Linked DNA regions of Macaca mulatta. The main gene of each other region encodes a partner of the protein of the gene in region 3 in a complex. Links are inferred from orthologs where the notes say so. Each region holds a gene or a part of one and is shown on either strand. Other genes may lie near its edges.

Region 1 (3,359 bases), on a different chromosome or scaffold from region 3:
GTTATAATGATCCCCACTCCCACCCAGGGGCCCACTGACCTCCTTGAGCTAGGTGTTGGCAGCCCTCCTCCCGTTCGGGTCCAGAATTCCCCCGCCACCCCGGCTCCCTGAAGCCCTAGTGCCCTCAAACGCGTCGTCCGCCCCTCCCCGCCTAGGGCCCTGGAGCTGTCCCTGGAGCTCAACCGCGTCTCGCTGGAGCGAGACTCCCTGTACCGGGAGCTGCTGCGCGCCATCCGCCAGAAGGTGGCGCTCACGCAGGAGCTGGAGGCCTGGCAGGTGAGGGGCGGGGTCCGTGTGCGGAGGAGGGCAGGGGGCTGGACCGGTGCTGAGCCGACCACGGCCTCCCGCAGGACGACATGCAGGTGGTGATCGGGCAGCAGCTGCGCTCACAGCGCCAGAAGGAACTGAACGCCGCCGCGTCGTCGTCGACCCCGCGCCGTGCCGCGCCCCGCTTCTCGCTGCGCCTGGGCCCCGGGCCCGCCGGTGGCTTTCTCAGCAACCTCTTCCGAAGGACCTGACGGCTGGGCCCAGGGGCTGCCCTTGCCCGCTTAGGGGCTCACTTTCCTCTTCTGGCCAATTAAGTGACAGGGCCTGGATTATCTTCCAAAAGGAGATGATGCCCTCCCCACCCCAGGATGCTGGGCAAGGGCTCATCGGCAGCAGGGGCTCATCCGGAGCAGGGGCCAGCTTTGTGGGGCAGGAGCCCCTGGTGGGTGGCAGGGGCAGGTGAACAGAGCTATTTTCCGAATCAATATAGGTCTATCTTTTCTAGGGCAGGGATGGGGCTGGGTATTTATGTATCAAGATGGGACAGAGTAATATATAAATCACTCCACCGATTTAGCCTCCATTCGTGGAAAGAAAGAGCATGGAAAAAAAGCCTGAAACTTTATTGTAAAAAAGAAAATGAAAAACACTCTAAAACCCTGGGCTGGCTGGGGATGTTGTCGGAGGTCAGAAGGACAGGGAGAAGGCTCGGTAGCCCAGGTTGGTGAAGACATCCACCCGGCAGCTGTTACCTGCAGCTGTCAGGACCTGGAGGAAAGAGGGGCATGACTGGCCTGCCCACACCCCTGCCCCAGCCACCCCATGGCCCCTGCCAGACCCACCTTGCACTCGGGCGCGGCGGGCTGCTGGTTGAGGCTGAGGCTGAGCAGCCCTGGGGAGGAGCCAGGCACCTGGGCCTTCAGCTCCCCGCTCAGCTGCCACTGGTTGACACAGCGGCCCTGGCCAGCCGACAGAATCTGCAGAGGACAGGGAAGGTGCTCGGGGGTCACGACTGAAGGGAAGAGTCAGTTGGGGTGGCAGAAGTGAGAGAGAGGGACTCACCAGGTCCTGGTAGAAGGTGACATGCTTCTGTGGCGCCCGGATGGGGAAGACAGTGGTAGGTGTGGAGGATCGGAGGTGCCAGAGGGTGAGGGCTGGGCCCCCTCCACAGACCTGGACAGAAAGGTGGGAGTCCCCAGCTGTGAACTACAGGCCCACAGCTGACAGGGCCCGGAGCTGCCATCCAATCCCACAGTCTGCCCAGCTCACCATCCAGTCGGAATCAGTTGCCAAGCATCCGATCCAGCGTCCATTGTGGGGCCTTGAGCACTCCTGGGCGGCGGGGGAGGGAAAGAGGTGAAGACATGCAGAATTCAAGGAGCGGGAGGGGAAGAGGACAATGGCCATGGACAGACCCTCACCTCGTGCTTATAGACCTCGATCGTCTGGACCTCCTTGGCTGTGCGCAGGTCTGCGGGGAAAGAACTGTGAGTGGTGCCCCATTCACCTCAGCCTCCTTCACTGCCATCTTGCCCTCCAGCCAGCCACCTCCTTACCCCAAAGTCGAACAGCTCCATCCTCGCCACCTGACAGCACCTCTGGGCTCCTTTCCCGCAGTGCCAGGCAATGGATGTAGTCTGTGTGGCCCCGGAGGACCCGCTGCATGTAGAGGGGCGATGTCAGGAGGAGACCTAGGAAGAGTGCCTCTCCCTGGCCTGGACCTGCTCTAGGGCTCCAAGACCCTGCTCACCGTGAAAGTCCCAGTTTCAAGGTCCATAGTGTGCAACTGACAGTCTCCCCCAGCCAGGATGAGGGAGTTCTCCTGTGGAGGGAGCAGGGTGAGGCAGGAAGTCAATGTCAAATCAGGGTAGGCAGAGGGTGAAGGATCAAAGTTTGGACAAGAACAGTCACATGGGGCTCAGACCTTGGGGACCAGCAGCAGAGCATTGATCTCGGGCACTTCCAGGCTGGTCCTGGGGAAGGAAAGGCAGGGTCAGTGAGGAAGTCACTTCACCCCGATGCCCCCTCTATCCATGTGGCCCTGGCTCACCTGTATGGAGGCTGCCGATGCCACAGCTCCTTACACCCCTTCAAAAGGGAAAATACCAGTTGACCTCAAAGGCTCTCTCTGGGTCCCGGCACCCCAGCCCTTTCCCGAGCTCAACTCCTTACCTTCTTGAGCATCTCCGCCCAAAGCCAGGCCTTCACCTCCCCATCCCCAGCACTAAGCAGATGTCGATCGGTGGAGACCATGCTATAGACAGGCCCATCATGGGCTAAAGAGAAATGCAGAACTGAGTTGACCAATTCCACCCAAAGTCCCGAAGCCAGACTCCACAGCTATACCCACCTTGGAAAGTCACCACCGGCTTCTTACTTTCCTCTTTGGCTTCGGAGCTCAAAGCAGCGGACAAGCTGCAGGGGACAGCGGAGGGGACCCAGGAGTCAGAAACAGGGGCATCCGTCCCATGAGGGCCAAGTGCCAGGGCTAATGGGTGGACAGCGGCAGAGGGTACCTGAAGATGGCAATCTGCCCATAATTGTTGCCAGCCGCCAAAAACTTCCCACACGGTGAGACGCTCTGGGAGAAGATGGTCATATGGAGCCGCTGCAAGGCCTGGAACACCTCTGTCTGCAGGGAAGAACTGGATGAGGCCTGCCTGGGATGTATGAAACCTCCCAGCCACAGACTCCTTCCTGCTTCCCCCAACACCTGCCAGGCCTCCCACTGTCCTGACTTCTCAGCCCTCTTTTGAGGCGGCCCGGCCCCAAGCCAGCACTTGCCCATGCAGTCCCATGGGCGGCTCCAAGAAGACACTGAAGAAGGGGCGAGTCGAGGTGATGCCTCAGGGACCTCTGAGCAAGCACCCAGCACTCTCCTACCAGCTTCCTCAACTGTCAAGTGGAGCTCACAGAAGATTCCATCACCATTAGATGAGCTAGTGTATAGACAAGAGCTTTCCATGGGGCTGTCACTCAGTGCTGAAGCCGGGTGTGGTGGCTCATGCCTGTCATCCACTGCTTGGGGAGGCCAGGAGTTCGAGAGCAGCCTGGTCAAAATAGTGAGACTCCGTCTCAACAAAAAATTTAAA
Region 2 (3,967 bases), on a different chromosome or scaffold from region 3:
ATTCCACCAACCAGAGATAATGAGTACTAACATTTTAGAATACAGTCATCCCTCCATTTCCTCAGGGGATTGGATCCAACCCCAACCCTGCAGCTGATACCAAAATCCACTATGCTCAAGTTCTGCAGCGGATTATAATAAGTTGCTCCTCCATATCTGCAGGTTTCGCATCCCAAAAATACTGTATTTCTGAACCACATTTGGTTATGAAGAACCCTCAGATACAGAGGGCAAAGTGTATTTATTGGGGAAAAAAAATAAATCCATGTATAAGTGGACCTGTGCAGTTCAAACCTGTGTTGTTCAAGTGTCTACTGTATATCCTTCCAACCTTTTTTCCTATCTATACATGCACTCTTACATGACTAAAATGGGAACATACTGTTAATATAAATTTGTAACTTTTTATTAATATCGCTGATAAATATCTTTCAATATTATTTCAGCACAGTATAGTCTTCTATACCATGGCACACATTTAATAACCAATTCTCTGTTGTACAGTTGGTTGTTTCCAGTTATTGATCACTGTGATATTAATGCTGTGATAATCCTTGAGGCTAAGTCTTTATGCACATTCAAGACTATTTCCTTATACGTTCCTAGAAGTAAAACTGTTAAGGTAGAAGATATTCTTTTCCCTTTTATCACTTATAATAGCCAGTATAACACTGGAAAGTATGCAATAATTTTATGCAGTTGAGACCCTAGAATAAGTAAGCAAAGTACTAGAGAAACTTCTTTGAAGATGTTCAAGAAAGACAGACAAATGTTGGCACTTCCTATCCTCTCATAACATTCAGTATCTCTTTTAATTGCCCAGGAAGGCCTAAGTATAATTATATCTAAAGCAGGAGATGAATGCTATAATCTCTTAAGAGTTTCTACAGCTAGCAAATTTACTTTATTTTGGAGAAATGAAACCTGTTATACCAGAAAAGAAAGAATAAAAGGGTAACTTTCTCAGAAGTATCTCTGTACTCTTACCTTTTGTTGGAACTGAAGAAATCCCAAACCTGAAGAAGGAAAAACAAACTAAATTTTAGGAAGCTGTTCACACTCCTGGTTGTCTGTCTCCGTGTCAAGTATACATATGACACTTCTTGCTTGTGATCTCAAGTCTTGCAATCATTAGCTAATTCTAACAACCCCATGAAAGAGGTTCAGTTTACTCTCCCTCTTACCAAGTCCAGAGATTAAGCTAAGAGGAAGCCTTATCAGAATTAGTAGTAGTAGTCAGTTCCTGGCTTTAACTGTTACAAAAACCCTTCTCAATAAAGCCCAATTTATAGCTACTATAACCAAACCAGTAGATACGTTCTGAATAGGGTCAAAAAAGTGTTCATATCCTTCAGCAAGCCTCTATTCTACTTAAATCAACAATTATATCAAAAACCTAGGATCACATATCTTCACCTTTACAACATCACTATCGCAGGCCCAAAAGGCTGGGGACACTCACCTAGCTGCCCGAGCAGCTTTCTTACTCTCCAAGCTCACAGGTACATTGAATCGTTCAGCCCTCTTCTGCATTCTCTAAGTAAAAATAGACAAAAAAAAAAAAAAAAAAAAAAAGGAAGAAAAAAGAAGTCAATTTATGGTTTAAGAAAGTTAGTCAGAGGTAGGTATCTTTAAAAAAATAAAAATAATAAAAATAAAAAAATTTTTTTTAAAGTCTCACTCTGTCCCCCAGGCTGGAGTACAGTGGCATGATCTCAGCTCACTGCAACCTCAGCCTCCTGGGTTCAAGCGATTCTCGTGGCTCAGCCTCCCGAGTAACTGGTATTAGAGGACTGTGCCACTGTGCCCAGCTAATTTTTGTGCTTTTAGTAGAAATGAGATTTCACCATGATGGCCAGGCTGATCTCGAACTCCTGACTTCAAGTGAACTGTCCACCTCAGCCTCCCAAACTGCTGGGATTACAGGCGTGAGCCACCCCGCCCAGCCAAAAGAAGGTATCTTAAAAACATCAGAAGTAATTTCTTAGGGTCCAAACTGAAAATACTGACAATCCTAGAAGATAGCAGGTTGTGTCCATACTAGGACTTAACAGCCCTTCCCAGAAAGCAAACACAAAAAGACTATTATTACATACCCTCAAAAACAAAAGGGAGAAATAAAGTAAAACCTATATTATACATGAAGCCAAGAAGTCAAAAGCTATGTTTGGCTGACCTTTGAAAAGTAATCAAAGGAATAGCTTGGTTCCAACACTAATGGCATTCTTTCAGTTAGAAATGAGGCAGCATTGTTTTATGCCATTCTAAAAGAGTTTAATAATTCTCTACTTTGCAAGTATGACACTGAACACAAGATCTCAACTGGAACCTGGTTTCACAGTCCTACCCCACAGAAACCAGTGGAATTTCAATCTCAGCTACTGGCCGGTAGCAACATAAGAGTCACATCTACCAATACATTTTCAAAGTACAATCCTCCCAAATTCTAATCCTAGGTTTGTAAACATCTCAAAGAGAGTCATTGTTAAGACAATAGTGTTACATATAAAAAGACTACAGCTTCAAGAAAGACTACCCTATGCCAGCCAAATATTTTCCAAAGAGCAGCTGGCAGTGAAACGTTTCAACACCAAAATCTGTCAATACTGATTTTCTGCCTGTGAATAAATTTTAGAGGATGATGCAGATATAATAAAGGGTAAGAGGGAGACAGAAATGTAGAGACTGTTCTACTAGGGAACAGAATACCTACCTCAGTCTGTGGTATTTCAGATGTAATTTTCACCACTTTCTTCTCTGCTGCCCTAGAAAAGAAAGAGATCTTTTAAAATGAGAAAACTGATATTCTAAACCACAACCTCAGAAATGTGTAAAAATTCACTTGAATTATCTCTGCCCTATTATCTCTCTGCCACCCCTTATGCCAAGGAAACATGAAGTTCACTAGAGCTTTGGTTCCTTTAACTGTCATCTATTGAGAAGAAAGAGTTCAAATAACAAACTAATCTTCTTTAGCTAAAGTACAATAAAGAAATAAGGAAAGAAGTCTGGTTAAATACACTGGGCTGAAGGGAAACACTCAAAGGACACCAGAAACCATCTCATTTGCTTTTAGGAACTTTTTAATTTACTTTTTTTTTTTTCTGAGACGGAGTTTTGCTCTTGTCACACAGGCTGGAGTGCAACGGTGCAATCTTGGCTCACTGCAACCTCCACCTCCTGGGTTCAAGAGGTTCTCCTGCCTCAACCTCCCAAGTAGCTGGAATTACAGGCGCCTGCCACCACGCCCAGCTAATTTTTGTATTTTTAGTAAAGATAGGGTTTCACCATGTTGGCCAGGCTAGTTACGAACTGGCCTCAAGTGATCCACCTGCCTCAGCCTCCCAGAGTGCTGGGATTACAGGCGTCAGCCACCAAGCCCAGCCTTTAATTTACTTTTGAACTAATGAGTAACCCTCCAATCCTCCTTTAAGCACCAGCTCCCAATATTCATCACAACAATTAAGTACTCTACAAGGTCTGGTTTCCTTCTTTTAAAAATCCCTTATTTCTCCCATGAGGAATGTAGCTCTAGTTGGAACAAAGTGGAACAAATAAAAATGCCAAAGAAGGTAGGAAGAAAAAAGTCTAAGGGGAGTTTGAATTAGGAAAACATGGCATGTTACTGGTCAAAGGTTTAAGAGAAAACAAAAGAGGGGGGACCACAGGGGCGGGAGACAAAGTTCGGAAGTACCCAGGATAAATGGAAGGGCATTAACCCTCCACCAAACAACTCCCATAAAACTGTGGGTCATAACCAGTCTCATTAAGGTCCCTCATTTAGAGACATGGGCAGCTTTTGTTCCAATATCCCGGACACTTTTCCCATTTGATGCCCTGAAAGGTAGTAATGGTTTAATGACATTTTCAGAGGAAGCAATTCTGGAACAAGTACTCTCTTCCACCCTTTTATTGGAAATCCCTGGACTGACAGACAAGCAATGGGTGCCCCCTGCTGACCATAACA
Region 3 (3,967 bases):
GAGAGTAACAAAGACAGAAATTACCACAACTCCAAAATACAACTTTCCTAACACTTTTGTACTTCTCTGGGGGAAGATAGTTAATATTAAGACCCAGAGGACAAAATAGGAAAGGATGGGTATGTCATGGGAAAAAACAGAAGCCCAATCCCAAAAGGCAGGTTTTGATACAGGGTCTTACTCTATCACCCAGGCTGGAGTACAGTGGCACAATTACAGCTTACTGCCGCCTCCGTGTCCCAAGCTCAAGCAAACCCTCCTGCCTTAGCCTCCCAAGTAGCTGGGACTACAGGCATGCGCCACCACGCCTGGTTTTTCTGGTAGAGACAAAGTCTTACTACACTGCCCAGGCTAGTCTCAAATTCTTGGGCTCAAGCAATCCTCCCATCTTGGCCTCCCAAAGCACTGGGATTAGAGGTGAGCCACCAGGCCCAGCCAAGGCAGGCTTTCTAAAGAGAAGTTCCATGGCCTTCTTCAAATCTCATTCTAGCCCCAAATAAAGCTAAAGAGTTATCATCCCACGGGAAGGAACACTGCAGGGAGAACACACTCCACTGCTTATGCAATTGGCCCCACCTAGCCCCAAACCCTAACACCCACCCGATTACATCCACTTTACCTTTCCTATGTCCCTCTCCTCTGAGTATTAAAAAAAACAAAAAAATTTTTTAAGGAAAAAAAAAAAAAATCTACCACCCCATTGAGGACACCCCTCCCCAACACATATGGGGGGAAACGGGGCACGGCACGCGTTGGGTTCAGGAAAAAAACCGGGAACGGAAAAAGAGGCTGGTTTGGTCCTCAGCTTCCTGGTCAGGTTTCCCCGCGGCCTCCGCTGCCGCCATCCACCGCTGGGTGCCGTCTGCATTCCCTCGCCGCGCCACGGTGCTTCTCTGTTGCCGGCTCACATCAACCGAGGTTCCAGATGGGTGCAAGGAGATGTGGGTGGGAAGGAGTAGGGTATCGGGGATTGAGGTGCCAAAGGCCCCCACCCCTGGAGGTGGGGAAGGGGAGGATTCATTTGTGCTGATGCTCTTCTTTTGGACATGCCCTGCCATCTGTCTGTCCCTCTCTTGCTCTCCTGCCACCGGAAAGTAGGAGTTTTGGTGAGCAGAAGGCTCCAGCTGTATGCTCGACGCCACCTTGACAGTGCGTGGCTGTAGGGGGCACGTAAGAGACGATGGGTGGGTGGTAGGGCAGAAAAATTCTGCCCTCCCCCAAAGGGAGAAGAGGTTCAAAAATGTTGTGATTTTTGAAAAAGTCGAACACTACCCGCTCTCACATTAACCCGACCAAGTCTTCCGGAGTTTCCCTGGCACCCGCGCAGACCCTAACACTAGCTGTCTCTGCTTCTGTATGTCTCTTCAAGGAGTCATTACTCCCAGTTGGGCACAAGCCGCCTTCTTGGCACTTGAATGACAAGGGAGTCTGAGGAAGAGGGCGAGGAAGGGGAGGAGGCAGCGGGCGGGGAGTGGAGGGAGAGAAGGTAGAAGGGTATTTACATCTTGCATGAACTTGCGGCAGACTGGACGGATCTCTTTGCTCAAGGTAGCACTGAACATCATGACCTGCTTCTCGTGGGGGGTCATGCGAAAAATTTCCTGGACATCCCGACGCATGTCTACAAGAACAAGGAAAAAAATTGTAGGAGAAAATAAGCAAGTATGATAAACAAAGATTAGAGGTAGACTTTCCAGTGAGGTGAAGATTGCTGGAAATAGTAATAACACAACGGAAAAAGCAATGGACTTGGAATCAAGAATTGGGATCAGATTCCAGCTGTTCGTTTTAACCAAGCAAGAAATAAGATAAAACCCCAAAGTTCCCAACTATAAAACGGGGACAAAGCCCAGTGCAGACGCTCTCAAGGCCTTCGAAACATGCTTTACAGGCCCTTCTCCCAATCCTTTCCTGTCCAAGCCCCAGCCAGCCCTCAGGAGACTACAAGTATCAACCATATATTACATTCCAGGTAGCAGAGTCCATCTATGACTCTCTGGATCACTTTTCTATCAACTCAGGCAAATATGACATTGCTACCTGGAGCCCACCTTTGTAACTCACCACACTGAATTGCCGAAGACCATTTGTAATGACTTATGGGGCCTATGTCCAACCCCACACTCATTCACCAAGATTCAAATCTTACAGAAAAAACTTCCATTAACCCCACTTGACACACTAGAATACCACACCACACGAACTGCTACACTCTCTACATTAATCCCAGACCTGAGTCTAGAAACTTATTCAGCTATAAATTCTGACTGTAAATGCTGTGCTGGAGATGCCAGAAGGGTACTGTCTTCTCTTTCAGTTTAGAATCTCCCCTATGACTTCCAGTATAGGAATCTATAATGAAAACGATGGTGGTGGTGATAACTTAGGCCTGAAATTACCGAAGTCCCCTATTCTCAAAGATTAAAAACAAAAATCATAGAAAGATGATAGATGACATCCTTTACTGTGCTTAAAAGCATAATAAAGCCCAACCAGGGAACCCAGAACCATCAGTCATGGGTGATAGATAAGAGTCGTCCTTGCACTGAGGCGCTCCTGTTTCAAATAAACATCATTTGGCTCCAAAGAACAACTCCCCAGCATTAGCCAAGTCCCAGCACTGCCACTCACCGAGCTGTTCAAGCATCTTATCACATTCATCCAAAATAAAGTGTTTAATGTGTTTGAGGTTGAGGCTCTTATTTCGAGCCAGGGCTAGGATACGGCCTGGAGTCCCCACGACGATATGCGGGCAGTTCTTCTTCAGCACCTCTTCATCCTTCTTGATAGACAGACCACCAAAAAAAACAGCAACCTGCCGAGAGCCAGGAGCAAAGAGTCTCAAAAAAGAGGAAGGAAAGAGTCCAATCCCCCCAGAGTTCCCACTGTTTGAGCTAAACCAATTTTTAGCATGTTTCAAAACTAAAACGAACTCTAGAGGTCACCTAATTTAGAAATGTTATGTCCCCCCACCAAACACTGAGGGTGACTGCCTAAAGTTACATAGCTAGTCGGAGCAGTCAGGACAATAATTCAGTTCTTCTGACTTAATCTAACCGTCTTCCTTCATTTATGAGGCCAAGCCTCATTTTAAAAATAAAGGAGTCAGGTGTGGTGGCGCACGCCTATAACTCCAGCTACTCGGGAGGCAGAGGTTGCGGTGAACCAAGATCTCACCATTGTACTCCAGCCTGGGCAACAAGAGTGATATTCCGTCTCTAAATAAATAAATAAATAAATAAAATAAAGCCAGGCCCGGTGGTTCACGCCTGTAATCCCAGCAGTTTGGGAAGTCGAGGCAGGTGGATCACTTGAAGCCAGGCGTTCAAGACCAGCCTGGCCAACATGGTGAAACCCCATCTCTTCTAAAATACAATATTTACAAATTTACTACTAAAATACAAAAACTACAAAACTTAGCCAGGAGGCTGAGGAAGGAGAATCGCTTGAATGCAGGAAGTGGAGATTGCAGTGAGGCGAGATTGAGCCATTGTACTCCAGGCTAGATGACAGAGCGAGACTCCATCTCAAAAAATAAAAAATAAATAAATAAAGGACGGCAAGAAATTACCAGGATTAGTATAAAGTACCACAAAAAAACACATGGAACATTAAGTTTTCCTAAATAAACCCAGAATCTCAAACTCCTTCATACAAACCCCATGAAATTACTGCTTTGGGTGAAATATTATCACTTCATGTTAAAACCATTAGGTGAATAGTTGGTTAGGGATCTGGGCCTTGGTACAGTGTCAAATAACACCAGAAACTCTAGTTTTAAGGGGGAAAAGAATGACCATGGAATCAGACTGTCACGATGCTAATCCTATGGTAAACCTAAAGTCACTAATGAGGCCAGGCACAGTGGCTCACACCTGTAATCCCAGCACTTTGGGAGGCCGAGGTGGGTGGATCACTTGAGGTCAGGAGTTCGAGACCAGCCTGGCCAACATGGCGAAACCCTGTC
Region 4 (4,702 bases), on a different chromosome or scaffold from region 3:
AGTGGAGTGTCACCTGATAGAAAAGGCAGGAAAAGGCAACCTGTGCAGATTAAGAGAGAAGGCACAGTCCACATCAAAGGAAAGTGGAAGACAGATTAGTAAAACTACTCTGACATTTAATAATATTTACTGAACATTAATTATTATGTGTTGGACTCAATGCAAAGCCCTTTACAACTTTTTGTGTTTAATCCTCAAAACAATCCGCTGACACAGATTTTATTATTATCTCCATTCAGAGACCGAAGCTGAGACAGTCTGTAAGTGGCAGGGTAGAGATTCCTGTGGACTCTAAGGATGTGGTGGGGCACTCTACTGCAGTCAGTACTTCAGAACTCATCTTCTGTCCCTATCTCCCATCTGACAAAGCCTATCGCTCCTTTGGACATCTCTATCTCAATAAATAGAAAAGTAGTGCTAACAGGCACACAGTGAAGTCAAAAACCTGGGATCATCCTAAACCCCTTCTCCCCGCATTCATTCAATACCCGAAGTTCTGACATTCTGCCTCACAAATTTCCCTCCCACCTGTCCTCTTCTCTGCATTCCCTCTTGGTCACAGTCCTCATTGTCTCTCACCAGGGCCACTGCAGAAATAGGAGACACAGGAGGCATAATAGTGAAGAGCGGGAACTCCGCAGGTGGTCTCCCTGCCTTTGACCCTCTATGACTTACTATCTGTGCGACCTTGGGCAAGCTAACCTGTGTCTGTTTCATCTGTAAAATGGGGACAACAATTAGAATATTACCTGACAGCACCATGTAAACGTTAGTAAGTGGTAAGGAAACTTAGCTCCTCACTTTCTCTTCCTCTAATCATTCTGCACATAACAGAGACAGTGTGTATGCGGTTTTTTTTGTTTTTTTTTTTTTTGAGACAGGGTCTCACTCTGTCACCCAGACTGGAGTGCACTGATGCGATCGTGGTTCACTTCAGCCTCGACCTCCCAGGCTCAAGTGATTCTCTCTTGTCAGCCTCCCAAGTTCTGGGACCACAGGTGTGTGCCACTGTGCCAGACCAATTTTTTTGTATTTGTAGACATGGGGTCTCATTATGTTGCCCAGGCTGGTCTTGAACTTCTGAGCTCAAGAGGTCCACCTGCCTTGGCCTCCCAAAGCGCTGGGATTACAGGCGTGAGCCACTGTGCCCGGCCATGTGTGTGTGTTAATGCCAATCTGATTAGCACAACACCAATGTTAAAACTTTTAATGGCTTCCCATTGCCCTTAGAAATCTCTGGCTCATAACTTTCTAAATTCTAGCAATAACTGTCAACTTTGAGTTCTTCCAACATCTTGGGGCCTTTGTACAAGTGGCTAACAACCCAGAACACCAGTCCAACATCTATTTATTCTTCAAAAATGGGATTATCTTTTTTGGGGAAGCTTTCTCATTTCCATTGATTGGATAATCTTTGTTACATGTTCCTACAGTTACCAACCTTGTACTTCCTTGTGGTAATATTTGTCACTCTTAAAACTCATTAGTCAATGTTTCTTTCCCTTCCGACCGAAATTTTGGAGAGGGAAAAGTTCTTGCTTGTTGGTTCTGGGTTGTAATCCCAAAGCCTAGTCCAGGAAGGATAAATGTCCACTAAATAAATGAAACTGGAATGAAGCAAAGCTGAAATTCTACATGAAGTTCCTGGGTCTTTAGTAGTCTTCCACCTCCACTACTCTTTACCAGTCTGCAAATTTGGGCCTATCACTGTTCTTCCCATGGCCAGGCCCTTTAATGTGGAGACCCTGGTGGTCTTCAACTCTTCAGAAGTGGCCTCTCCACAGGCATTTAGTTACTGGTCACCCTCTCCTGAAAAACACCCAAAAGCCCTAGATCTCCCCTTCCCAGATATCAAAGGACCTCCTTCCTCCCTAATCAGATAACTTGTAGGTTCTCCCTCCAGTTGCCGATCATGCCCCTTCCCCTTTCCCCAAAGTGTCACCTTATTTCTGCTCTCACTCCATAGACCATCTCCCTTAGACAGTCCACAAACCCAGTCTTTGCCCCTCTAAATCCATTCCAGCTGACAAATCACCCTCCCCAACAAACACATATACATCTTCTATCCTCCTGACCTACCCTAGATGGTTTCTCATCACTATACTGGCTCCTCCTTACCCCCCGTAAATCTCCCAGGTACACTTCCCCATTACCCTCCGGATACCTCATCCCTCTGTATTCCTTTTATAAATAATTCCCTGCTCCCTCTCCTCACCCACAATCCACTCGCAGTTCAAGGCCTCATTGCCATCGACTCCATTGTCTGTGAGTCCTTCCCAATATGCCCCAGGACCCCTCCAGGTGTCACGCTCCGTATCCTGACATCCCTTGTAGACGAGTCCCGAAACTCCCGTTCCATCCCTGGAGCTCCCACTCCCTCCTAGTCCTCCAGAAACCTTCCAGGCCCCCAGCCCCAAGCCCGGCACCACCGCCCACCATTCGCGGCTCCTGGGCCCTCACCGCGCCCCTAGACAAACCCGTACTCCCTCCGGTCCCACCCGCCCTTGCACCGCTTCTAGCCGTCTCGGCCTCCCACGTGTGTTCCCAGCCCACCGACCACGCTCCCGGCACACCCTACAGCCCCGCGCTGCCTTCGGGAGAGCGGGCGGGGGAGGCCGAGGGGCTCCGAGGGGCGCTCGGCCTCTGGCGAGAGGAAGGACTCAGGGAAGCAGCCGGGGAGGCCCGGGGCTTCGGGGAGGGGTCTGGAAGGCCGAAGCGCTCGGGCGAAGCGGCCGGGGCAGGCCGAGGGGTTCCCGGAAGCGGGCTGGGAGGCCAGGGGTCTCCGGGGAGGCCGAACAGGCTGTGCAGCCGGCGCGGGTGGCGGTGAGCGGGGCCTCACCGTCAGTCACGGCTCCCATGGCGTGCGCGGCGGCGGCGGCGGCGCAAGCTGAGGCGGCGGTTGGCGGCGGCGGAGGTCAAACTCCCACAATGCAGCCGGGTAAACAGCCATGGAGGAGGAGGCGGCGGCGCCCGCGGCCGCCTGCTCCGACGCCTGAGCCGCGCCGCGCCGCCGCCGCGGGACCCCCGCTCCCCACGCTCCCGGTACTCCCCGGGGGCGGCCGCGGCCGGCGCGAGTTGGGGTGAGGCTAGGCGGCCGGCGGCGGCCCCGGCTGCAGGCCGGGCTCCCGCCGCCCCCCTTGCAGCCCCCGCCCGGCCCACGCCCAGAGGCCGCCCCGGAGGCCGCAGCCAGCCGCCAGGTGAGCTCGCCCGGACGCCGCCAGGGCTGCGGGGACGCGGCGGGGGCTGCGGGCCGCCCGGAGTCGGGGCCCCAGCTCCTTCTCCGGGAAGGTGACTGCGGCCCCGCCGCCCCATCCAGGGTGACGCTGCTAGGGGTGGGCTCGCTTCCCTGGGGGATGGGGAGGGTGACGGGGACGCCAGGATCCGGCTGAGCCCGGGAGAGGCGGGACTAGGGGTACAGAGGGGACGCGTCGCTGGGGGTCCCCTCGAAGTTGGCGCCCACTCGCGCTGGGGCGGGTCTCGAACGCCGGCACTTGCGCGGGGCGCGGCCGGCAATCAGAAAAGGCCCCGGGTTCCAGGTCGCGCGGTTCCGGCCCCTGCGGCCGCCCCCTTCCTTCCTGGGCTCGGCGGGTGCGGGAAAAAGGGTGAAAGAGAAACTTGGCGACCTCCCGGAGGAGTTCGCGGAGCGACCAGGAGCGTGTGCCCATCGTCCTCACCCGGCACCCAATTCCACCACAGAGTCGGGATCTCGTCGGTGATCATGATGGGGTGCTTTTATTTATTTTTCTCTTTGATTTTCAGAAAATGTTTCTGTGACTGTCCCTATCTTAAGGGGAAGTTGAAAGTGGGGGCGGGGGTGCTCAATGAGAAACGTTGCCTTGTGTGTAGTTGTCTGGAGCACACTGCAAATTATATGGGCATCTCTTTTCGAAATCACTTTGACTCAACTTCGATAGCTTTCTCGTAAATGGCACGTTTAGGTGGTGAGAGGTGGATGAGGAAACAGGCACCAATACAGCTGATTTGACCTCCAGTGGGATAGATACGATTAGCACCAGGATCATGTCTCAGTTGACACAGGTTTGTTATTTTATTCAGTCATATCGTTGTTTTCCAATTTTCCTGTCCACTAAGTAGATCTTGCATCTTCATATCCAGGATGAAGAAGTTGTGTGGGATAAATTTGGTTGTTTCAGTTTCCTTACTAACTTTAGGTACATTATCCCTGTTTTCCCCCCAGTTCTTTCAAAGAGGAGAAGCTGCAGATGCAAATGTATTAAAGTGAAGTGTGTTTAACCTCTAGCAAGAAATATGTACAATTTTAGTCATATTATATGAGACCAGTGACTTCAATAATACCATTACAGTGCTCTCAAGAATTAGCGCTCAAGAATTTAACTTTTGTCACAAAGACAAAAATTACTTTATGTGAAGATTCTGAGATGTAACTTGCCCTCCCCTAGGGTGTGAAGTTTCCCTGACTTTGAAAAAATACTGACCTAAACGCTGGCTGTAGGTGCGCATCAGAGCCTGTTCATCTCCTTTGTTAGGAGACAGGGCACTCTAAGTGAAGAACTGTTTTAAAAAAATCTTAAGTACTACAAATTGTAAACTGAAATTGTCAGTTGATTGGGGTTCACAATACCAAGTTGCATTTTGGTGGGGATAGTTATTTAGAAAGTAATCGTCATGTGGTGAAATGTTCTTTTTTAAGTGTTTCTTAATCTTATAATACTGATTTTTG
Region 5 (3,967 bases), on a different chromosome or scaffold from region 3:
AAGGTCCTTGAATGTCGTTCTTGGGCCTTGTAAGAGGCACTTGCTTTGCTCCATTTCACTTTCTTTCCATTCTGCTTTTAGTTTGGTTTTGTTTTGGATTCTTTTACAGTTAAGTGTTCTTCTCTTCCATTCCATTACACTTCCTTGACAGAAATAATGAGTCTCTTCACGGGCTCATAAATGATCGAACTAATCTAACTTTCAAAAGTAACTACTTGGAGTCAGAAAAAGTGATGATTTGAGACTAAGAAAAGTAAAAGTATTTAAAGGCAGTTTCTATTTTTGACAACTTTGTTCATTAAGAGTCCCTTTGGCTGGGCGCAGTGGCTCATACCTGTAATCCCAGCACTTTGGGAGGCCAAGGGTGGATCACAAGGTCAGTAGTTCAAGACCAGCCTGGCCAACATAGTGAAACCCTGTCTCTACTAAAAATAGAAAAATTAGCTGGGCGTGGTGGCGCATGCCTGTAATCCCAGCTGCTCGGGAGGCTGAGACAGGAGAATCACTTGAACCCATGAGGCGGAGGTTGCAGTGAGCCAAGATCGTGCCACTGCACTCCAGCCGGGGCAACAGAGAACAGAGTGAGACTCTGTTTCAAAAAAAAAAAAAGATTGCCTTTGATCAGTGATTTCATTAAGTTGACTTTAGACCACTGGAATTTACTTAATGTCTATTTTTGCCTCTTCTGAGGCATGTGTGCTTCTCTCCTTATCTCTTTGGCTATAGGCTAATTATTTATGTTTACATAATAATATTTATGTTTGCATGTTACTAAGTGACATATTTTAAAATGTGATACACTCCTGTAATTTATGAGAGTATGTTAATTGCTGTGAGCTTTGAAGGTGCTCTAGTCCTTCCTCATATTTGGCCTTAGAATGCACCTTGGATCCCCCAAGTTTAGGCTTTCTTTGTTTGTCTTTGAAACTATATCTTCTGTCTCTTGTCATATCTGCTTATTGCGTGTTTTTCATACCTTCCACCTCTGTAAAAGCTGTCACCTGAGCCCTTGTTATCACTTTTGGTTGAATGTGCTGCACTTAGCTGCATTTCTGAGTTTCTGATTCTTGCAAGTTTGTGGAAACAGAGGAGTCTTTAACCCACATCAGCCTTGATCTAAGTGTACCACTTTACTTAAAAGTTCGTGGGATCTGGAGCTCCTGGTCTAGCAAGCCATGAAAATGCCAATAAATGTTTGTAATAAAGCTTTTATTTAAACATCCATTTTGTTCGACCTTGAAGCTTTACTAATATGCTGAAGAACAAACAGCCGACGCCAGTGAATATTCGGGCTTCGATGCAGCAACAACAGCAGCTAGCCAGTGCCAGAAACAGAAGACTGGCCCAGCAGATGGAGAATAGACCCTCTGTCCAGGCAGCATTAAAACTTAAGCAGGTGAGAGAATGGGTCTTAATGCTCCAGAAGCAGCTGGTGATCTCTGTCAGGGAGTCCACTGAGGCTGTCAGAACGTGATGGATGATTGCAAAGTGGCTCAGGGCAAAAAACTGAAACTTCTCTGGAAGAAAGAGAAGTTCAGAGAATTCCAATTTTGGCAGGTACCAATAAGTAACTTTTTATTGTCTTTCTCTTTTAGGGAGTTTGCCATCTATGTGGCCTGTTTCTGTTACCAATGAGTATTAATCTTTTGTTTTCAGATCTTTAACCCTTAACATAAATTAATGGCTTATTCCACAAAGAAACTTTATTTCAGCTTTAGATAATCTCACAGCATCCTTTACTCTCTGTTAAATGATTTACCCACCAGGGAAATAATTTTATTCTTGTTCCCCTAGTGCAGGGAGTTTGCATGGCCTTAGTCAAAGATTTTCAATGCTAAAATATACAGAGTAGAGTGACCTTCATTTCCACAGCACCTAAAGTTTTACCAGTAAAGTGGAGCAAGAGTACTGAGTAATTTGAGTTAGGGGTTCTCTTTCAAACTTACAGTGAGAGATAATCCTATTCAGACCTGAATAAAACCTACTCTTTATTATTCATAGAATTTATATGCAAGTCCGGACAGTGGCTGTGGAAGGATATGTCCAAGCTGTGGCTGGGCGTCTGGAGGGCGGTGCCATGCAACTGTAAGGGCTTTGGTAGCATTGCATGGCTGTGCATAAATTCAGCAGTTAAATATAACACCCTTACACCCCCACCCTGAACCACTGGGCTCACTGACCAAAAATAAACAAGACTTTCTGCTTCGGCTGTCTTAAGCCTTGGAGTGACTGGATTCCTCCCTGACTCAGGAAAGCAGCAAAAGGCACCACCATTTTCCAAGAGTAAATGGAAATTGCTGAAGATGAGTCTCTGACAGATCATTCCAAAAGACCTTTCAACAGGAAGCTTTAAGTATAGGCTCTGCAGGAAGTAGTCCCGATCCAGAGTAGTAATATTCACTAGAATTTTTTTATGTGGTTTTGTTTTTTTGAGATGGAGTCTCACTCTGTCACCCAGGCTGTAGTGCAGTGGCGCAATCTCAGCTCACCTGCAGCCTCCACCTCCTGGGTTCAGGCAATTCTCCTGTCTCAGCCTCCCAAGTAGCTGGAATTACAGGCACCCGCCACCATGCCTGACTAATTTTTGTATTTTTAGTAGAGACGGGGTTTTGCCATGTTGGTTCAAGGCCAGAATGGTCTTGAACTCCTGACCTTAAGTGATCTGCCTGCCTCAGCCTCCCAAAGTATTTGGATTACAGGCATGAGCCACCGTGCCCAGCCAGAACTTTCTATAACGATGGAAATGTTCTGTGTTTGCTATCTGGTACAGTAGCTATTGAAAACTTTAAATGTGACTGGTGCAATTAAGGAGCTTAATTTTTTTTTAATTTAATTTTAGGCCAGGCCTGTAATCCCAGCACTCTGGGAGGCCAAGGCAGGCGGATCACTTGAGGTCGGGAGTTCGAGACCAGCCTGGCCAACACAGCAAAACCCCATCTCTACTAAAAAAAAAATTAGCCGGGCATGGTGACGCACACCTGTAATCCCAGCTACTCGAGAGGCTGAGGCTGGAGAATATCTTGAACTCAGGAAGTGGAGGTTGCGGTGAGTGGAGATAGCACCACTGCATTCCAGCTTGGGCGACAGTGAGACTCTGTCTCAAGAAAATAAATAAAATTTACTTTTAATTTAGGCTGGGTCTGGTGTCTCACACCTGTAATCCCAGCACTTTGGGAGGCCTAGGCAGGTGGATCACCTGAGGTCAGGAGATCAAGACCAGCCTAGCCAACATGACAGAACCCCATCTCTACCAAAAATAAGCCCAGCGTGGTGACAGCGCCTATAATCCCAGTTACTCAGGAGGCTGAGGCAGGAGAATTGCTTGAACCTGGGAGACGAAGGTTGCAATGAGCCAAGATCGTGTCATTGCACTCCAGCCTGGGCGACAGAGCGAGACTCTGTCTCAAAATAAAAATAATAATAATTTAAATAGCCACATGTAGCTAGAGGCTGCCTTACGCAGCACAGCTCTAGAGTGAAAACTAAGTGGTAGAGTTGACATCCTTAAGTTTCCTGTTAATATTAAAGGCCAGTATTGGTGGCAGTTAAGGATTGGAATGGATAAAGAACTTCCGAGCACTGTACAGTTCTCCCTTTAAAGCACAAAGCTTGGGAAATTACTATATGCAGGATAACTGAATGCAAGAGACTTGTGGAATGCAGTCTGACCTCATAATTGTGTGTTAATCAGGGGAGTAATAGGACAGGCTGTTATGGTTGGTTACACCTACTTATGCTAGATGCATAATGTTTGGAGCCTTTCCCACTGATTAGAAGCGATTTATGATCTTGTGCTAGAAAGTTAACAATAATGCTTCACAGCATGTTTTTTGAGAGGTATGATTAGAAAACACACACACATTGGTAGTCACTTCTGGGTGGAGCCTGAAGGGACCATAGAACGAACTTTCTTTCATATTGACTGATGACTTTATGGACGATTAGGCTTGCTAGGACCTTGGTTGTG
Region 6 (4,501 bases), on a different chromosome or scaffold from region 3:
AACCTTCAAAAGATCTCAGATAGCTTTTCAATCTAGCAACCATGGAACTGCAACATTTTTATTAAATACCAAAAAACCACAAGGAAAAAACTGCATTCAATAATGGGGCCTTGAACCTAAATTCTAGCTGAGCAAGCAAATATAAAATTGGTCTAATACAGGGAGACTCACAGCTACATGGTCATGGTGGGCTTAATATCCATCTCTTGGTAAATAAATAATACCATAAGGATTATAAAAAATTTACGTAAACTAATAGCTAATAAAAACTCATGTTCTCTTGAACTCCTATGTGGTGTTCTCTCTAGAGGCTTGTATAAAAGCTGGAATTCTGCTAAACTTTTATAGTACTTAATTCAAATATAACTATGTAATTTTTTGGTGTGATTCTGTCTCTTCCACTGGACGACTTGAGGAGAGAAATCATGTTGGTTTCCCTTACTGCTGCAATCTGTAAGCCAAGCACTGTAACTGGCACATAGTAAACACTCAATACATGTTTTCAAAGAATCAATTAATGAATTTCACCACAATTCCATTATCTTTTTGAGTAAGTGTCGTCTTAGTTTACCATATTTCTTATAAGGAGTTGGGCCTGAATCTCTTAAAATTAACTTAAAAGTTAAACTCAACATATATCATTCACTTTCTTCAGTTACTGCATACCTTGCACGGTTTACACAACTCCATGTACTCAGGGAGAGGGAATTAACCAAGCTAACAGGGCTTCCAGTTTGACTGGGGCCCACAGGACCCATGACCTATTAAAACCATTCATTTGAGAGAAGTCACAAAAAAGTGAGTGTCTGTGGTAGATACAAGCTTTAAGTGTGTGATGTCACCATGTGCTTTTAACAGAAAAAAAAATCAGGATGAAAGAAAGTAGCATTGCTGGAAAACAAAGCACAGGAGAGGGGGTGGAAAAGTGAGTCACTGGCAAAAATCTTTAGTGTGGTGGGCAAAAAAGGAAGACATGTATTTCCATACCTCAATTAGTTTGTCTCCTTTGACTACATCCAGATGTAAACCGGGAGGGGGCTTACCTGCCCTGAAAAATAAAAATAGAAAAAAGCATTTTCACGATGAGTTTATAAATGCAATTTACAATCACTGTCCCATTCAACATTGCAGCTTTCCTACCAGCCAGCCTATAATTAGTTCATGTTCAAGCAGAAATGTCATCCACTTCACTGTTATTACAGCTCCATTCTACGTTTGACACTTACTTCCCTAGTGATTCAACTGCTCTGAAACAGATTTTAGTGGATCTGTATTTAGAGCAGCACCAAGAAACCTATATTTTAACACTGGATCTTCACCTCAGAGAAAGAGCTGCATAGAGAGTGTAAGTACGATAGCTGGAGTGGTCTGGTCACCTGGAGTTTGAATCTGAAATTTACCCCTACTCCAATATCATATAAAGATCGAATAAATTAGTTGCTGTTTGGGGCTGATCAAGATTAGTCTCATCACAGAGTAAGCAGAGTACTGTCCTGAGCTCTGAGACCAAATCAGAGGTGCATAATTAGGGAACTAGGGCAATTCAAAATCATGCCCCATGAAACCAGGTACCAAATGAATATGTTACCCTTGAACAGGTCTTTCTACAACAGCATGATTAAGGGAAGTTTCCTCTATACTCCTACAGCCATATCATTCAAGGGAGACTCACATATGTCAAAGCACCTAACAGTGCCTGGTACCTACCAGACCCTAAGGAAAGGGTAGGTGATCTCAAAGCAGTGCTTTCTAACTACGTTTGCTGTATTGGTCCAAGTTTGAAATCAATACAGCGAGGGATCAAAACGGATATAGAATTTGTAGACTGAAGCAACCATTACAAAAGTGCAAAGCCATCCAGAAAATAGCCACACATTTGCTTGCTTTTTGGGTTTGCTAATTTGAAGTTAGAAAAAAGAACCACCTCACTAGAACCTCTAGATTTGCACACGAAAAAAACGTATCCTTGTCTAGCTAACTGAAGATGCAACACAGTCATCTCAAACAATCCTGCCCCAACCCCTCCTCTATGGAAAGGACAGTGCACCGGACAAAAGGCCATTTTGTCCACGAAAAAGGAGGAATGTTACATCCAAAATATACTTTCTGTATGTGCCTGACTCAGGCCTTGGAGCTGGGAATACAAAGATGCAGTCTTTGCCCTTGAGGATGGCAATATAACGGGAGACAGAGACAAGTAACAAACAATACACTGCGATGAGCTACAGCAGAAAAAAACTCTTAATTTCAGAAGCGTTTCCTTGTAAGGTAATTCATATTTATTCAACTTGTACTCTACTCAAAGGCCAAATTATTTCATTATTCCCAAGAACTTTCGAAGGGATAAAAAGGGTTCATGCCAGCCATTACTAATGCCTACTCGTGCCACAGACTGGGAGCTCCCTGAGGGCAGGGAGGGCGCTAACCTACCCTCGTGTTCTCTGTGGCAGACAGAAAAGTGCCGCACGAGGGATGCAGCAACCAAAGAGGGATGCGGGGCTCAGACGTAGGGTTGGGGCAGGGGCTGGCTCGAGAGCGCTCGGGACGTACAGGAAGGGGCCAGGTACGATGCTCCATGAGAGCACCAGGCACTCAGTCAGGAGTTGGGCGTAAGTTCGGGCAAAGGCCTCAAAGCGCTCCAGCGACTGGCTAATCGCTCAAAGGGGCTGCCTAAGTGAGCGCCTTTGAGCCCCCAATCCCGTGTTTCTTCAGTTCCTGGGCCTGGGCTCCAGGCTCTCGGTTCTTCAACACGTCGCCCGGCCCGGTGCAGCGAACAGTTTTTCCTCAACCATTCCAGGGTTTCTGAGCCGTTCGGCTCGCAGCAGAAAAGTAAAAAAAGAGCCGCCCTTCCAGCCCAGGCTAGCTCCGGCCAGGCCACTCTAGCCCTGGCCGCCCCGCCACTCACCAGGTTGGGCAGTCGAACAGCGGGAGGCTGGAGCCGGAGTTCGCGGCTGCCGCCATCTTGCGTCTCCCCCTCCCATTTGGCGGGCCCGAAGCACGCCGGGAAACTGGAAGACCGAAAAGGGAAAAGCGGCATCCCAGCAGCCTGTGCGTACGCACGCTCACGCACGCACGCGCGTACGGGGGGCGGTGCTTCTAGTGGGGACAGTGTAGGTTTTGGGATTTTTTTTTTCCACCGTTTGTGCGAGTTGGCCGTCTCTGGAAGTCTCCAGTGTATGGTTTTCCTTGGCCAGGAGGTATCAAAGGAAAAGCGACTTTGTAGGGAGGGGAGTCAGTCTCTCCCTGCGTCCTCCTGCAAACGCTTCTGGGCTCTAAAATCTTGGGACTAAGCCGGGCGCGATGGCTCACGCCTGTAATCCCAGCACTTTCGGAGGCTGAGGCGGGCGGATCACTTGAGGTCAGGGGTTCGAGACCAGCCTTGCCAACATGGTGAAACCCCGTCTCTACTAAAAATACAAAAATTAGTCGGGGGTAGTGGCACATGCCTGTAATCCCAGCTACTTGGGAGACTGAAGCAGGAGAATCGCTTGCACCCGGGAGGCGGAGGTTGCAGTGAGCCGAGATCGCGCCATTGTACTCCAGCCAGGGCAACAGAGCGAGACTCCGTCTCAAAAAAAAAAAAAGAAAAAGAAAAAAAGAGAAGGAAAAAATCTGGGGACTGCATCCTCCTCCAACGTTTAGGTTAAGACCGTCAGCCTTTTGCCCTCAAAGCAGAGAAGCTAAAGGGCAAAACTTGGAGATTGGAGTGATTATTGTTTCTACTTATCCAGCCCTTCTCCAAAAAGTGGCACTTTACTCACTTTTTTCCTAATCCACGTCTAGGCCTGTAGATTATCAGGGAATCTGCATTAGGGGTCACCTGGTCTGTTTATGAAAACTCTGGACAAGCTGGAGCCAGGAGCAGGTCCAGTCAGAAAGCAGGGGTCCAAATCATCACTGTGCTTGGCTCAAATGGTTAATTTTTTAAAAAAGGATTTTTTGCTTTTGGTTATAGTGCAAGGAAGCATTAGGATTGCTGGCTTGCCCTAGATCACCAGATGACTGAAAGAGACCATTAGCAGGGCCTCTGGTTGTAATGGCATTGTCTGTTGAGCACTTACCTTGGCAAGTATGTATTTTATATGGATCATCTCATTTAATCCTGACAAGGCTCTTGAGTTAGGTATTATTATAATTCCAGAGGAGAGGCTCAGAGAGATTGAGTTGCCCAGCCTCACCCTAGAACAAGTGGTGAGTGGGATAAAAAAACCTAAACCTGTATGTTGCCAAAGGCCATGCTCATGAATCACTATTCTCTCTCACACTTTGATGTTGGTATAATTATGTTTATTATTAGCATGCAACTGATGCCCCTCTTCTTCACTTTTGTAGATGCCTTGGGAGGATTATCTGACTGGTTTTTCCTTTTTTAAATAAATCAATTGCTAAGTTCCTGTCATCCAGAAAGAGGCACTGCTCAGCAAGTTAAGGAATCTATGATGAAAGTAGTTCTTTTCTTGCTTCCATGCCACTGGTTCTGTAGAAAATCAGCCTATTCAAA
Region 7 (3,967 bases), on a different chromosome or scaffold from region 3:
CAGTAAGTTATCAGAAGATCTAGCTAAGAACATTGATGAAGGCGTCTACACTTAACAGATTTTTCAATGCAGATGAAACATTCTGATATTGAAAGATGCCGTCCAGGACTTTCATAGCTAGAGAGAAGTCACTGCCTGCCTTCAAGGAACAGGCTGACCTTCTTGTTAAGGCTAACGCAGCTGGTGACTTTAAGTTGAAGCCAATGTTCATTTACCATTCTGAAAATCCTGGGGCTCCTGAGAATTATGCTAAATCTACTCTGCCTTGGGCTCCATCCATAAAGACAAACCCTGATGACAGCACATCTGTTTATAGCATGGTTTACTGAACATTTTAAGGCCACTGTTGAGACTTACTGCTCAGAAAAAAAAAGATCTCCTTTCACAATGTTATTGCTTATTCACAATGCACCTGGTCACCCAAGAGCTTTGATGGAGATGCACAAGGAAATTAATGTTGTTTTCATGCCTGCTAATACATCATCCATTTTGTAGCCAATGAATCAAAGGGTTATTTCAACTTTCAAGTCCTGTTATCTAAGAAATACATTTCATGAGGCTATAGCTACCATAGTGATTTTTTTTTCTTTCTTTCCTGAGACGGAGTCTCGCTCTGTCGCCCAGGCTGGAGTGCAGTGGCCGGATCTCAGCTCACTGCAAGCTCCGCCTCCCGGGTTTACGCCATTCTCCTGCCTCAGCCTCCCAAGTAGCTGGGACTACAGGCGCCCGCCACCTCGCCTGGCTAGTTTTTTGTATTTTTTAGTAGAGACGGGGTTTCACCGGGTTAGCCAGGATGGTCTCGATCTCCTGACCTCATGATCTACATTTGAGAAGATGTGCTCATTGCTACTGGAGTATCACTACTTCTGCGGCCCTCTCAGAGACCAGAGCTAGGAAAGACATATGTGTATACTAACCATACTCAGGCACTACTGTAAGCTCTTCACGTGTTTTAATTCATTTAATCCTCACAACATATAAAATAGGTGGTATATTAGCCCAGCATTAAGAAAAAGAGAACTGAAGCAATGAGATATTAAAATCTCGCATATCTGAACCGACTGGGGAGGGGGAAGGCTCTGGAGAATAAGCAATGTCCCATTTCAGGAGCTACAGAGTGGTTATACAGTATTTGTTTCATTATTATTTGCTTTATGTACTTTTCTATATAAGCATTATATTTCACAATAAAAATCTGTTAAAAAAGAGAAATGAAAGGAAGTCTATATAGCTAAGTAGTCGTGACTGAGAGAGAAAATGGAAACACAAAAATAGGCATACATTACGAAATATAGATGTGACGGTTTATATCTACATGTTTCAGTATGATTCAACTGTACGTTAATAAGCTTTGAACTTAAAAGAATCCATGACTTTGTTTCAAGATTACCTGTATTATATACTAGGACTGCTATAACTATTTATAAGTAAAAGAAAATAAAGTGACAATTTCTATGATGTCTTTCAACTTTTTAGAACCATTTTTCTCATTATCATGACAGATTTTAATCTATTAAAAACTGGAAAAGATTTTCCTGCAGAAAACTCATTTAACGCATAAAAGCTTACCTGATTTCTCAGACAGTGGGAAAAGCCTGGCCAAAAAGAGCTGAATCCGTCCACAGAAGACTGTATTCTGGGATTTAGACAATCTTCTTAGGAGATCTAATGATATATGAAAATGAACGTTACACAGAAAAGATAATTCTATGTTTATTACAACCATACCTAAAAGTTTCTAAACCAGTTTGTCGAGAGTATTTTCCTAAAGCAGTAGTTCTTAAAATGGGGGCAGAAACCACTGCCACAAAAAAGTACTAGAAATTAGGAACAAAACAAGTTCAACATGACATGAAAAAGACAAACTTTACTACATGTTTCTGACTTTCATTAAGTTTATGCCCAGAACAAAAACAGCTTAAAGTGAATGAGTTCTAATAAATCCGATTGTTAGTTAAAAATACAAATACCTAATCTATTTTTAAAATGTTATCACTGGTATTTAATTCAACCACATGTTTTTCTGGGCATATTTACATTTTAAAAAGCTATCATTTAATCACTCAATTACTTACCATTGCACATACGTAGTAAGTAATTTTTCCCAGCAGAATAGAATGTATTCTGAAATTAAGATGGAAATTATCACTCTTCTTCTGAACTTGTTACACATTCTTCAATAAGTTGCAGGAAGTAAAATATTAAAGAACACTAACATGCACTGAGAATCTACTATGCCACTTACACTTTTTTAAAGTAAATAACATTTTCAATGAAATGAAAATATTTTCAGATATAAGATAAGAAAACATGATACTGTTTTTAACATGTGAAAGTGTGAATTTTCAAGTTAGTTTTTATTACTCAAATTAAATCAAATTTTGTATTTCAAGTTTTTCTCCACACATGGTTTTTACTTGGCTCTCCCAAGAGAGCAGTATATAATTTTTTCATAGGCACAAACTTGTTGGCGATCAGCAATACTACAAATAATTTCTTTTTTTAAATCTACCCTCAGAACTCTGAATCTACAGAAATACAAAGTTAGCAGGAAAAGAAACTAAGGCACTTACTGATTTCCAAGTAGCAACATTTTTTTCCACAAAAGTGAATATTGTGTCACACTGATCCAAAGGAAGACAATCCAAAACATCTCCCAACAATACAAAAGGTGTAGATGCGGTACAAATACCTTCAAGTGGAGCACAAGCCAGTTTAAAAGTTTAAAAAAACATTAGAGTAAAACAGCCTATGAAAAATAATACTGAAGAATATCTTAAAAGGTACACTTTGTTACTCATAACAAAGTTTTAAAAGGACAAGAAGTGGAAGCAGCCTACAAGTCCCCAAACAGGACATATTTAAGTAATTTTTGATATGTGCACTCAGTAATGATGACAATAATTCTTGACAAGATCTAGAGCATTTACTATATGTCAGGCACACTAAGTACTTTACATATACTAACACATTTAATCCTTATAACCCTATGAAGTAGAGCATATCATTATTTGCATTTTATAGAATGGGAAAATTGAGACACAGAGAGGTTAAATAACTTGCCCAAGATCACAGAGCCAGTAAGTGGCAGAGCTGGGATACGAACCCAGGCAGTCTGGCTCCACAGTCTGTTTTCTTCACCACTAAGCTATTCAAAAGAATATAATGCAGCCAATTAAAAACGATGGTTATAACGACTATAATAACTTGGAAAAATGCTTAGGATATAATGCTAAGTGAAAAAGGCAGGATTCAAAATTGTATGTACATATGATTATGACAATAAAAAAATTCTTAAAAGACTATAGAAACTAAAACCATTATACCAGATGAATGGTTTTTAAAAGTAGAGGAATTATGAGTACTGTTTTCCCTTTTTCTCATTTCCAAATGTTTTGTAGTGTTGCTAAATTGTCTTTGTGATTTGAAAAGATTATCTTCAAAAAATAACAAGGTTTGATATTAACTATGATTTAACATTTAAAATAACAGTATTGTTTCAGGGGAAAGAATGGAAAAGTAGAAAGTTACTGTTTAAAGAACAACAAAATTAAGATATTCTTAAGAAAAGGTCTATTTAGTCTATTCAGACTACCTAGAAATACTTTTATATCCCTACTCATCCTTCCTTCTATTTTAAGGCAATGGGTACTTACTAACACTCATAAGTGTTTAAGAAAAGTAGTTACTTAGGCATGGTATATGGGGAAAAATATCTAGGGTGATCTAAGTCCAAAACAGTGCATTAATACACTATATCTAGAAAAAGGAAGAAATCTTTCCAGCTGTACTCTGCACTAGTAAGATCATATCTGGAATGTGATGTGAGGGATATTGCCGAAAAGCAGTGGTGGAATAAAACAGCAGATTTCAACTCAATACAAGGGAACACACCAATAACCACACTTGTCTAACAGGACTCAAACAGTGACCTCCACTAATGAGCATGATTCAGCAGAGGCTGAAT

Evidence for each region.
Region 1: DDX39B (region 3) and THOC6 share a complex: the UniProt entries of both Homo sapiens proteins name them as parts of the transcription/export (TREX) complex. The link is inferred for Macaca mulatta from reciprocal best matches to the Homo sapiens genes DDX39B and THOC6.
Region 2: DDX39B (region 3) and SARNP share a complex: the UniProt entries of both Homo sapiens proteins name them as parts of the transcription/export (TREX) complex. The link is inferred for Macaca mulatta from reciprocal best matches to the Homo sapiens genes DDX39B and SARNP.
Region 4: DDX39B (region 3) and THOC7 share a complex: the UniProt entries of both Homo sapiens proteins name them as parts of the transcription/export (TREX) complex. The link is inferred for Macaca mulatta from reciprocal best matches to the Homo sapiens genes DDX39B and THOC7.
Region 5: DDX39B (region 3) and CHTOP share a complex: the UniProt entries of both Homo sapiens proteins name them as parts of the transcription/export (TREX) complex. The link is inferred for Macaca mulatta from reciprocal best matches to the Homo sapiens genes DDX39B and CHTOP.
Region 6: DDX39B (region 3) and PPP1R8 share a complex: the UniProt entries of both Homo sapiens proteins name them as parts of the spliceosome. The link is inferred for Macaca mulatta from reciprocal best matches to the Homo sapiens genes DDX39B and PPP1R8.
Region 7: DDX39B (region 3) and THOC1 share a complex: the UniProt entries of both Homo sapiens proteins name them as parts of the transcription/export (TREX) complex. The link is inferred for Macaca mulatta from reciprocal best matches to the Homo sapiens genes DDX39B and THOC1.

Annotation. Positions count from the first base shown.
Region 1 is NC_133425.1:4,269,052-4,272,410, reverse strand, and holds the end of THOC6 (THO complex subunit 6), read right to left. Parts: intron 3,318-3,359; exon of another isoform or gene 3,048-3,317; intron 2,900-3,047; coding exon 2,784-2,899; intron 2,683-2,783; coding exon 2,618-2,682; intron 2,544-2,617; coding exon 2,440-2,543; intron 2,356-2,439; coding exon 2,318-2,355; intron 2,241-2,317; coding exon 2,192-2,240; intron 2,090-2,191; coding exon 2,018-2,089; intron 1,927-2,017; coding exon 1,824-1,926; intron 1,739-1,823; coding exon 1,689-1,738; intron 1,600-1,688; coding exon 1,537-1,599; intron 1,441-1,536; coding exon 1,330-1,440; intron 1,245-1,329; coding exon 1,110-1,244; intron 1,036-1,109; coding exon 955-1,035; 3' UTR 882-954; downstream 1-881. Other genes in the region: BICDL2 (BICD family-like cargo adapter 2), read left to right, coding at 156-276, 351-518. UniProt on the Homo sapiens protein: Component of the THO subcomplex of the TREX complex which is thought to couple mRNA transcription, processing and nuclear export, and which specifically associates with spliced mRNA and not with unspliced pre-mRNA.
Region 2 is NC_133416.1:62,948,508-62,952,474, forward strand, and holds part of SARNP (SAP domain-containing ribonucleoprotein), read right to left. Parts: intron 2,766-3,967; coding exon 2,714-2,765; intron 1,537-2,713; coding exon 1,463-1,536; intron 1,017-1,462; coding exon 988-1,016; intron 1-987. UniProt on the Homo sapiens protein: Binds both single-stranded and double-stranded DNA with higher affinity for the single-stranded form. Specifically binds to scaffold/matrix attachment region DNA. Also binds single-stranded RNA. Enhances RNA unwinding activity of DDX39A.
Region 3 is NC_133409.1:150,793,180-150,797,146, reverse strand, and holds part of DDX39B (spliceosome RNA helicase DDX39B), read right to left. Parts: intron 2,816-3,967; coding exon 2,632-2,815; intron 2,582-2,631; exon of another isoform or gene 2,506-2,581; intron 1,622-2,505; coding exon 1,503-1,621; intron 1-1,502. UniProt on the Homo sapiens protein: Involved in nuclear export of spliced and unspliced mRNA. Component of the TREX complex which is thought to couple mRNA transcription, processing and nuclear export, and specifically associates with spliced mRNA and not with unspliced pre-mRNA.
Region 4 is NC_133407.1:127,419,270-127,423,971, forward strand, and holds the start of THOC7 (THO complex subunit 7), read right to left. Parts: upstream 2,902-4,702; 5' UTR 2,859-2,901; coding exon 2,840-2,858; intron 1-2,839. UniProt on the Homo sapiens protein: Component of the THO subcomplex of the TREX complex which is thought to couple mRNA transcription, processing and nuclear export, and which specifically associates with spliced mRNA and not with unspliced pre-mRNA.
Region 5 is NC_133406.1:113,394,753-113,398,719, reverse strand, and holds part of CHTOP (chromatin target of PRMT1 protein), read left to right. Parts: intron 1-1,242; coding exon 1,243-1,396; intron 1,397-2,001; coding exon of another isoform or gene 2,002-2,085; intron 2,086-3,967. UniProt on the Homo sapiens protein: Plays an important role in the ligand-dependent activation of estrogen receptor target genes. May play a role in the silencing of fetal globin genes.
Region 6 is NC_133406.1:213,110,047-213,114,547, forward strand, and holds the start of PPP1R8 (nuclear inhibitor of protein phosphatase 1), read right to left. Parts: upstream 2,968-4,501; 5' UTR 2,962-2,967; coding exon 2,906-2,961; intron 1,049-2,905; coding exon 988-1,048; intron 1-987. UniProt on the Homo sapiens protein: Inhibitor subunit of the major nuclear protein phosphatase-1 (PP-1). It has RNA-binding activity but does not cleave RNA and may target PP-1 to RNA-associated substrates. May also be involved in pre-mRNA splicing.
Region 7 is NC_133423.1:71,588,469-71,592,435, forward strand, and holds part of THOC1 (THO complex subunit 1), read right to left. Parts: intron 2,693-3,967; coding exon 2,574-2,692; intron 2,125-2,573; coding exon 2,076-2,124; intron 1,666-2,075; coding exon 1,570-1,665; intron 1-1,569. UniProt on the Homo sapiens protein: Component of the THO subcomplex of the TREX complex which is thought to couple mRNA transcription, processing and nuclear export, and which specifically associates with spliced mRNA and not with unspliced pre-mRNA.